2 linked regions of the Oryzias latipes genome follow. The protein of the gene in region 2 interacts with the protein of the main gene of each other region in a pairwise test. Links are inferred from orthologs where the notes say so. Each region holds a gene or a part of one and is shown on either strand. Other genes may lie near its edges.

The links.
Region 1: the proteins of klhl2 (region 2) and txndc12 interact in binary tests that used the Homo sapiens proteins (3 or more experiments, as listed by UniProt). The two-hybrid records come from large-scale screens. The link is inferred for Oryzias latipes from reciprocal best matches to the Homo sapiens genes KLHL2 and TXNDC12.

The regions. Positions count from the first base shown.
Region 1 is NC_019875.2:4,319,631-4,323,717, reverse strand, and holds the start of txndc12 (thioredoxin domain-containing protein 12), read left to right. Parts: upstream 1-1,287; 5' UTR 1,288-1,460; coding exon 1,461-1,560; intron 1,561-2,741; coding exon 2,742-2,802; intron 2,803-2,928; coding exon 2,929-2,981; intron 2,982-4,087. Other genes in the region: btf3l4 (transcription factor BTF3 homolog 4), read right to left, coding at 83-136. UniProt on the Homo sapiens protein: Protein-disulfide reductase of the endoplasmic reticulum that promotes disulfide bond formation in client proteins through its thiol-disulfide oxidase activity.
Region 2 is NC_019859.2:19,776,541-19,780,695, forward strand, and holds the end of klhl2 (kelch-like protein 2), read left to right. Parts: coding exon 1-76; intron 77-1,495; coding exon 1,496-1,636; intron 1,637-1,722; coding exon 1,723-1,866; intron 1,867-2,228; coding exon 2,229-2,257; 3' UTR 2,258-3,655; downstream 3,656-4,155. UniProt on the Homo sapiens protein: Substrate-specific adapter of a BCR (BTB-CUL3-RBX1) E3 ubiquitin ligase complex that mediates the ubiquitination of target proteins, such as NPTXR, WNK1, WNK3 and WNK4, leading most often to their proteasomal degradation.

The DNA of each region.
Region 1 (4,087 bases), on a different chromosome or scaffold from region 2:
CCGTTGCACTCCAAAATGAGCCACAGAGGAGACCATAACAGGAAAAAAACTCAACAGCAGAGAAAATGCTGGAAGCCATTACCTTTCCTCCTATTCGGACTTGGGCCTGAAGCTTGGCGAGCTTTTCCTGATTCATAGTGTTCTGGTTCTTCCAAAAGAAACACAACAAATGTCGTTATTCTCAGTCTGGATGTGCAGATATGGAGACAAGATTATGAGATCATCATCACTGTCAGGACAGTTTTTATTATTTGGCAAAATACAGTTAGCTATGAATCTTATGCAGTCACTTTAAATGACATCAGACATGTCTGATGTCATTTAAAAAAAAGTAGCTTAAACTCATAAGGATTTGTGTTTGAATTTAATGGATTTAACTTAATTTAAAAAAGTTCACATAACACCACGTCAACTCACAATCAATCCAAATATAAAGTAAATAAATTGGAATTTGGTGATCCGTCAAACAGTCTAACCCTGAGAGTTTTCCTACAGGCTCGCTGAAGGGGCTGCACGATCATGTGAAGCTAAACCACACCGAGTTATTAGGCAACAACCACCGTTATTCCGATTCTACCAGTAACAAACAATACAAATAGAACACCAGACGGCCGGGTCGTCTAGATTATCGATGCTGGAGACTGTTGTAAGGCGACTATCAAAAATAAAAGATGATTATTTTGAACACGAGTGGAGCTAATCGGGTTGCTAAAACGCCAGGCTATCTGAGCTAATGCTAGCATTGCAGCAAAGTAACGCTCCATCCAAAGTGGGTTCATGACTACACTGTTAGCTTACAGCTACTTTAGACCATTTAGATGTTTACAAGCAATGCAATGAATTCAATTTACCTGAGCACGAAGAAAATATGTAGGTTCCGTTGAACTTCTCTTGCTACAAAAGGAGCAGTGAGGCTTACAGAAGCATCGACGAGTTTACGGCATTAAGGAATCACTTCCGCTTTGAGTTTTCACAATAAAATCCTTAAGTGTTAAGATTCGGGAATCTTTTGAAGAATCGTTAAGTAATTGTACAATTATTTAGTGACAAAAGTAATACAAGTGCATATAGTTTTCTTAAAACAGCATACAGGCTAAACGATTGTGATGATTATTGCAGATTGGGGCTTTTAAATGCACGTTTCTGCTTTTGTTTCCTGTCTCCGGCCGACGTTTTGCTGTCTGCCTTGACTAATGGGGCACATCGGCGGAGCACGCGGTCGTGTGGATATGATGTCACGTGACCCAGGCCTCAAAATGGCAAGAGGAATCTGTCGACCAATAGGAAGCCACTCGCGCACATGCGCGTGCGCGTGTGTACGCAACGTTCGGCTTGAAAATCACCCTGCACGGGCTTTAATTTTGAAAAGCAGCCGTTGAACGTCCGGGTCGAAAGTTGTGAACCAGCACTGCCATTATATCACCCTGTAGCCGCAGACGTGAGGAAGAAAGCCGCGGAAAATGCAGCCGTCCTCGGTGAACATGGCCGCTTTCACGCTGCTGAAGGTCCTGGTGTGTCTGTGCGGGCTCCACGGTCTGGTGGACGGCGCCAGCGGCAGAGGTGAGTCCGACGGGGGCGCGCTTGCGGCGCAGACGCCGGGGAGTAGTAACGCCGTTCCCGCAAGAAGAGGAGAGCCACCTGTCTGTCTGTCTTTGTGCCCGCATCCTGAAGCGCTAAGCCCGCATCCTGTTGACTGCTTCACGCGCTGCTTCCTTCTTAGACTTCACAAGTTGTTCTTCTGCTGGTTCAAAGATCTCACCGTTTGCCCAGTGTTTGTGTTCATTTTTATCCAAAATAATCATAGTAAAAGTTGGTGATCTGAATGGATTTCAGGGAATGTCAGTAAAATTTTTGAAGGACTTTATGCATGAACTGTAACGAACTTAACACTTCTTCTTCAGTGCTTTTGTTGTGCATTTACTGAACTTGTGTGCACATGATGATGATTTGGTCCAAAGATGTTTTGGAAACAGCCAAACTGATGCAGAACAGGATGCATCCTGTGGTTTATGTGTGTGTAAATGAAACTGGGCTCAAATATGAACCACACTAACAGGGAATTCAGCGCCTTTAGTGATGCTGAGCAGGTTGCAGAACTTAACAAGGTAGGTAGGTGTAAAATAAGGAAATAATGAAAGCTCCACTTTAAAGAAAGTTGTGTCTTTACAGCTGCTTTCAAACAAGACAGAATAACATGATAAACATTATGCTGATGGGAATAGAAAAAGCTAAAAAAAAAAAAAGGACTGAATTTGTTATCGGGTCACAGCGTGCTCTTTATCCCGTGGACCTTGAGCTTGGAGTAAACAGTTGATGCTGAAAGGATTCAGACGATAAATTCAGTGAGCTTTTCTCTAAATGGGATTATCTTTCGCTGCTGACATTGTTTGAAAATGTGAAGACAGTCTGACCTCAGGCTGGCCTCGCCTTAGATGCATGTTTAAAATAAATAAAAGTCAAAGTCGTCTGCTAAGGAAACAGATATTTCCTGCTGAGCTGGTGATGGCATCCTGAAGGAAAACAAAGTGGGTTGAGATGGAAAATGTGCTCATTTGTACCAAGTATGTAATCTTAGAAAACAAGTGAAATGACAGGAGTGAACGCTCAGCTAGTATCTGAATCCATCCCAGATGGAAGACATGTCATTCTGTTTGCCACAGTTTCCTCTCAGGTCTTTGTCCTGCTGGGAGGAAAACCGTTTCAAACACTTTGCTGCAGTGTTTTGCCCGTTTCTCCTGCAGGTTTTGGAGACAACATCCACTGGAGGACGCTGGAGGATGCCAAGAAAGAAGCTGAGGCCAGGTGAGCTGCAGCGCTCCCAGTCCCTAACCCGTGTCTGCGTTTCCGCTGAAGGTTGACATCCATGGTGTCGCTGTCTTCAGGCTCCAGTGGGACCTCTGTTCACTTTTCATGTGGTTGTTTTAACAGCGGGCTGCCCGTCATGGTCATCATCCACAAGACCTGGTGTGGAGCCTGCAAAGGTAACAGACGGCTCAAATGTGTCCGATTTAAATGCGTTTCATGCTTAACGTGGCCTTTACAAAACGCTGAAGTTCTTCTCAAGAGTAATGGATTACTTTCGTGTCATACCAAAGTATTTTGGGGCTTTCCTAATGATTTTTTATTAGTATTTCCTTCAGTGCATGTCAAAACTTCCTTCAGAGATCCAGACTTTTATTTTAATGTTCTCAAAAGTGTCTAGTTTTTTTTTACAAGGCCAAAATCTGCCTTTCTGTTACAGTAGTCATGGTAACCGTCTTTATGAGGTCGAATGCTTGTTTCTGTCTTTGAGGACACAAAGTTCTGATCAGTCTCTCTTTTTTACAAAAAAAAAAATATTTTTATGGACTAAACTTAAGCTGTTACCAAAAATCTATATTATCTTACAAGCATCCGGTACTCTTCCATCCAAATGTGAGACACTTTTCAAGTTCTTTACAAAGTCATTGAAAAGTAATACATGAGTTATGTAAGGTATTCTGTAAAGTATGCTAAGTAAGGGATTACTTTGAACAATAACAAGTAATCAGTAATGAATCACAGATTGTAAGGAAGTTGCAGAACACAGCTGACCAATCAGAAGAGTTTCAGTTTCTTCTGTTTACTGTTAAAAAAACGTCTAATTTAGTTGATTTATTCAAACTAAAAACTCAAAGCAAACGGAGACGTGAATGAATTTATGAAAGTTCTCTGCTGATTTTGTCAATTCTGACTGTTTATTGAAGAAAACATGAATATTTCAGTTTGATTCTCTGAAAAAGCCTTTGCTTTAGGTTTCTAGAGTAATAAACTCGTCAGGGGAGCTTGGCTGTTGAACTCATCAGGATAAAAACGACAGATAACCGACATCTAGTTAATCATTGGATATTTGTTAAATAAAAAAAGTGCTGTCCACACCAGATTAACCGTAAAAAGAATAAGTAAAATGATCGAAAAAGATTATAAAACAGATGCTTTTCTGTAAATGCAGAAGGGTTTAGGAAGGAGGCAAGAATCAAATGCTTTTATTTTGAAAAGTCAGTCATGAGGAAGGTTGGTGTAACTATAGAATGATGCACCAGCTTTGTTTCTTTAACTGTTTTCCCTT
Region 2 (4,155 bases):
ACAGTGGAAGCTTACAACCTTAAAAGCAACACATGGAGCTACATAGCAGAGATGGGCACTAGACGCAGTGGAGCAGGTGTGTGGGGGCTGGGCTACAACTAACCATTGACTGCACTGATAGTTTTCACAGGAGGTCTCGGTGTGTGTGTGTGTGTGTGTGTGTGTGTGTGTGAGGGTGTGTGTTTACAGTTGCCTCAATTCTTTTTTCATAAATGTCAGAAGGTTTTTGTGCTTTCCAGTGCCATCATCTCTGAGGAGACAGACCAGGACTTTTTTTTTTTTTTTTTTATCAAACTCACAAATGTATGCTTTGAAATGAGCACTTGACTCACATCAAATGTTGCTATAATTATGATGTTAGCTGCAGTGGCGGACCGTGCATTACACACCTGGGCCTTCAGTCGTGCTACGTCTGAATCACTCAACCCCTCATTAACCATTTTAAGATGCAGAAACAAGCTTTGCATTGTTTATTGAAAATTCCTGTATCCTCAATAAATGCCTCTAAATAAACAAAACAGTAAACAAATGCTGTTATGGAACTACAACCAGCTCAAAACATTGAAAACAACCACATAAATTTGGAAATTGAATTTATTACGATTTTTATCCTTTCACTCTTTAAAAAATCGGATTATTTGAAGACAAAATCCATCCTCTTCTCTTTCCTCAAGAACAGTTTGATCACCCTGTCATGTAGATTATGGTCTTCAGTTCCGTCAAGAAGTCCTTTTCTATTCCATCAAGGCCAGTGCTGAGAGCCGAATCTGTCCAGTTGTGTTTCTGCGTAGAGTTTAATTCGCTTTACTGCTGTCCGCTGGACAGACATAGTGGACACGGTGATGCTCAGCGCCAAACACACAAATCTGCACAGCTGCTCTCACTCAGATTTTTCTGATGAAGGAAGTCTAGGAGATTAGTGGGAGATTTTCCTGCAAAATCATCCATGGCGTACATTACAGTTATTTTATTATGTATATATATTATGTTTCATAAGATATAGGAACTGCTCCCTGAAGTGGGTGGAGCAAACCGGCCTTTCCCATTTCAGGCCTTATTTTCATCATTTAGAATCCAGTGTTGCTTCTTTGTACTAATTTAAAGATTTTGTGTTATAGATCACCCACATTTGAACTTCCAAGAACCAAAGAAATGCACATGTATGTTCAGAACAAAACCAGTAGTTTAATTGATGGAATGTTGGAATGTTGGGTACATTTTATGTCTTCTTGGATGATCCAGTTCCTAGTGGTCAAATGGGAAAACCTTTAAGCTTTGATATCCTAAAAACGTTACTTGTGGGATCATGTGATGTTTTATTAAAGTGTTTATCCCCACAGCAGGAACTGTACATTTGTAAAGAAATCAGGATCTGAAATACACTAAAGCATTCAGCAGTATTTTATGAAATACACACAGAGAGGCATTTAATTATCCACATTCAACAGTTTTGTGTTTACTTTGTGGTTTAAAATGTGTACTTTGTCTTCTCCAGGTGTAGGTGTGTTAAAAGGTTTGCTGTATGCCGTGGGGGGGCACGATGGTCCTCTAGTGAGGAAGAGCTGTGAGGTCTACGATCCATCCTCCAACAGCTGGCGTCAAGTAGCTGACATGAACATGTGTCGACGCAACGCAGGTCAGTGAAGGGCGCGTCTCTTCCACCCCCATGGACCTGGTAGATCCCTCTGATGTCAGGTGACCTTTTCGAACTTGTGTTTTCAGGAGTGTGTGCTGTAAACAACTTACTGTATGTAGTGGGAGGAGATGATGGCAGCTGCAATTTGGCCTCAGTTGAGTTCTACAACCCCAACACTGACAAGTGGACTTTAATGCCCACTTGTATGAGCACAGGCCGCAGTTATGCAGGTCAGTTCATCCCTGAACCTTTGTTTGACTAACGCGCGACGTATTCGGAGAAGATTCCGAGCCAGATTCTGAGAATAGAGTAGAAAATCCCTGTTTGTTTACTCCTTGAGTGGGTCATTTCTTTTCATGTGTACTTCATTGGTTTATTTCAAACATAAAAAACAAAGGGAAAAAAATCAAAGAAATTTAAATGTATATCAAACCTATTTATGATATTAATTGAAAAAATAAGCCATCTTAAATAAAAACCTTTTAAGACAGATTTGGATTTCAGCCTCAACTGTTTGTTTTCATGCTTATGATCCTGCTGCAGGTGAAGCTTAGCTGTGACACCACCGATCCATATTTTTTTTTTTTTACAGGTGTGACCATGATCGATAAGCCTTTATGACTGCACACCTGCCACTGATGGAAAGCAGAATGTATTCTTTCACTGAATCCTGATATCGGATCTCTGCAATGCAGATGTTTTCGGTGTTGAGCAGCAGCAGCACTGACGACGATGAAGACAAATAACACAGTGGTTATTGTTGAACGCCATGAGGATTTTTGCACTTACCTGAATGGGTGAAGCTGAATCGAAACAAGGGCTGTGTGATTTTAGTCCGCTCGCGGTAGGACTGCAGCCACAGCTGCCAGACAAGCAAGTTTGAAGCACCATTGTACCACTGCAGTGCCATTGAGACGCTACTGACGGGAAGCTGCTATACCTGCGAAGCTACTTTAACATAAGTAATGTTAATACCAACCAGCTCTGAGGAAAGCCACTCATCTGATCTATGGGAAACAAAGCAGAAAAAGACTGTTCTGGATACATTTAGTTCTTTTTTTAAAGGTTTTATTCTGTTAGGGAGTGTGCTTATGTTGAGTGTTTGTGCGCACTAGCACATGAAGGGTGCACCATTGCTCGCACATGAAAGCATGTGTCTTTTCTGCGTATCTGAGTCTGTATGTGGCGAAGCCTGATTCAATAAGGCATGAACACACAGTCACCATCACCTATTAGAGTATTGCAATGAGGCAAGTTAGAGTGCCTGAATGAACATGCACTATTTCTTTGGTTTAGTCCTGTTGCCTAACAGGGGAAGGCTGTTCTTGGACACAATTCTGACTTTAGATCGGCAGCATTTTTGCTCTCCTAATCTCAGATTTTCTGATACTCTTGAGAATGTTTGATGGAACAAGTCCTCGCTGGAGGAGGAAGCCTCATAAATGTTGCCAAACTCAGCAACAGAGTATTACACTGTTCAAAATGAGAAACAGCTGGATGTATCTGTGCTTTATCGTTGCCTGGCAGCCATATTTACTGTGGTCATAGCCAGTACTGAAAACAGCAGTCTGAGCTCGCTGCATGGTCCTTGTCTCTAACCTATCTCTCAGCAATTTCCTCCTCTCCTGTTCTTTGGTGTAACCACCCCTAATTACCACCGCACACCCTTTGTGCTACGAATGTGCCAATTTTAATGTATCCTCTTTTCTGTATCTTTACGACTCTGTTACTAATCTTTTCTCTCTTTATGGAAAGTGACCAAACCTCCCTTCTGTGTTCATTTGACCTGACGTTTGTTTTTTTCCTGGCTTTTCTGCTATATTCAAAACTGCTATAAAAGTAACTGGTTTTGCTGTTTGTTAGTGTATTGAGGAATGTCATGTAGGCTAATAACCTTGACGATGTTTCAGTACTTGTTTTATATTGCCGTTAATAAATATGCTTCTTGTATTTAAAGCTGTGAAATGAAATGACCTGTTTTTAAACCTTGCCAAATCAGTAAAACATCTAAATGAAACAAATGCATATTTATTTTATTATTTCATTGTCTTGCATGAGGGGTAGGACTTTATTCGTTTTTTAATTTCTAAAATTTCAGCTAAAACCTTTTACGTACACTAATTACAGATACACAGATGGCAATTTGAAAAAGCAGAGTTAAAATATTTGCTGAAATTATCTATAATTAGTTCAAATTGGGTGTATTTGATCAAGAGTTCACATAGTTCAGATTCTTTGCTCTTTTTTTCCAATAGGACAAATAAACATTTCTACAGACCTAAGAAAGTGTTTTAAATATCCACATTTTTTCAGCTTGTCTTAACTTTCTAACCCTCAAGAGATGATGTACACATGGACAAAATTAGCAGGAATCAGTTATTTTGAAATGTGGAGATGGTTAGTACTGCAATAAGAGGCCCATAATAATATTAGATAAGGGCAAACCCTCATCTAATATTTTTGTAGAGCACATTTTACTTCTGCAACTCAACATGCTTCACAGTGATTCAAAATCAGCA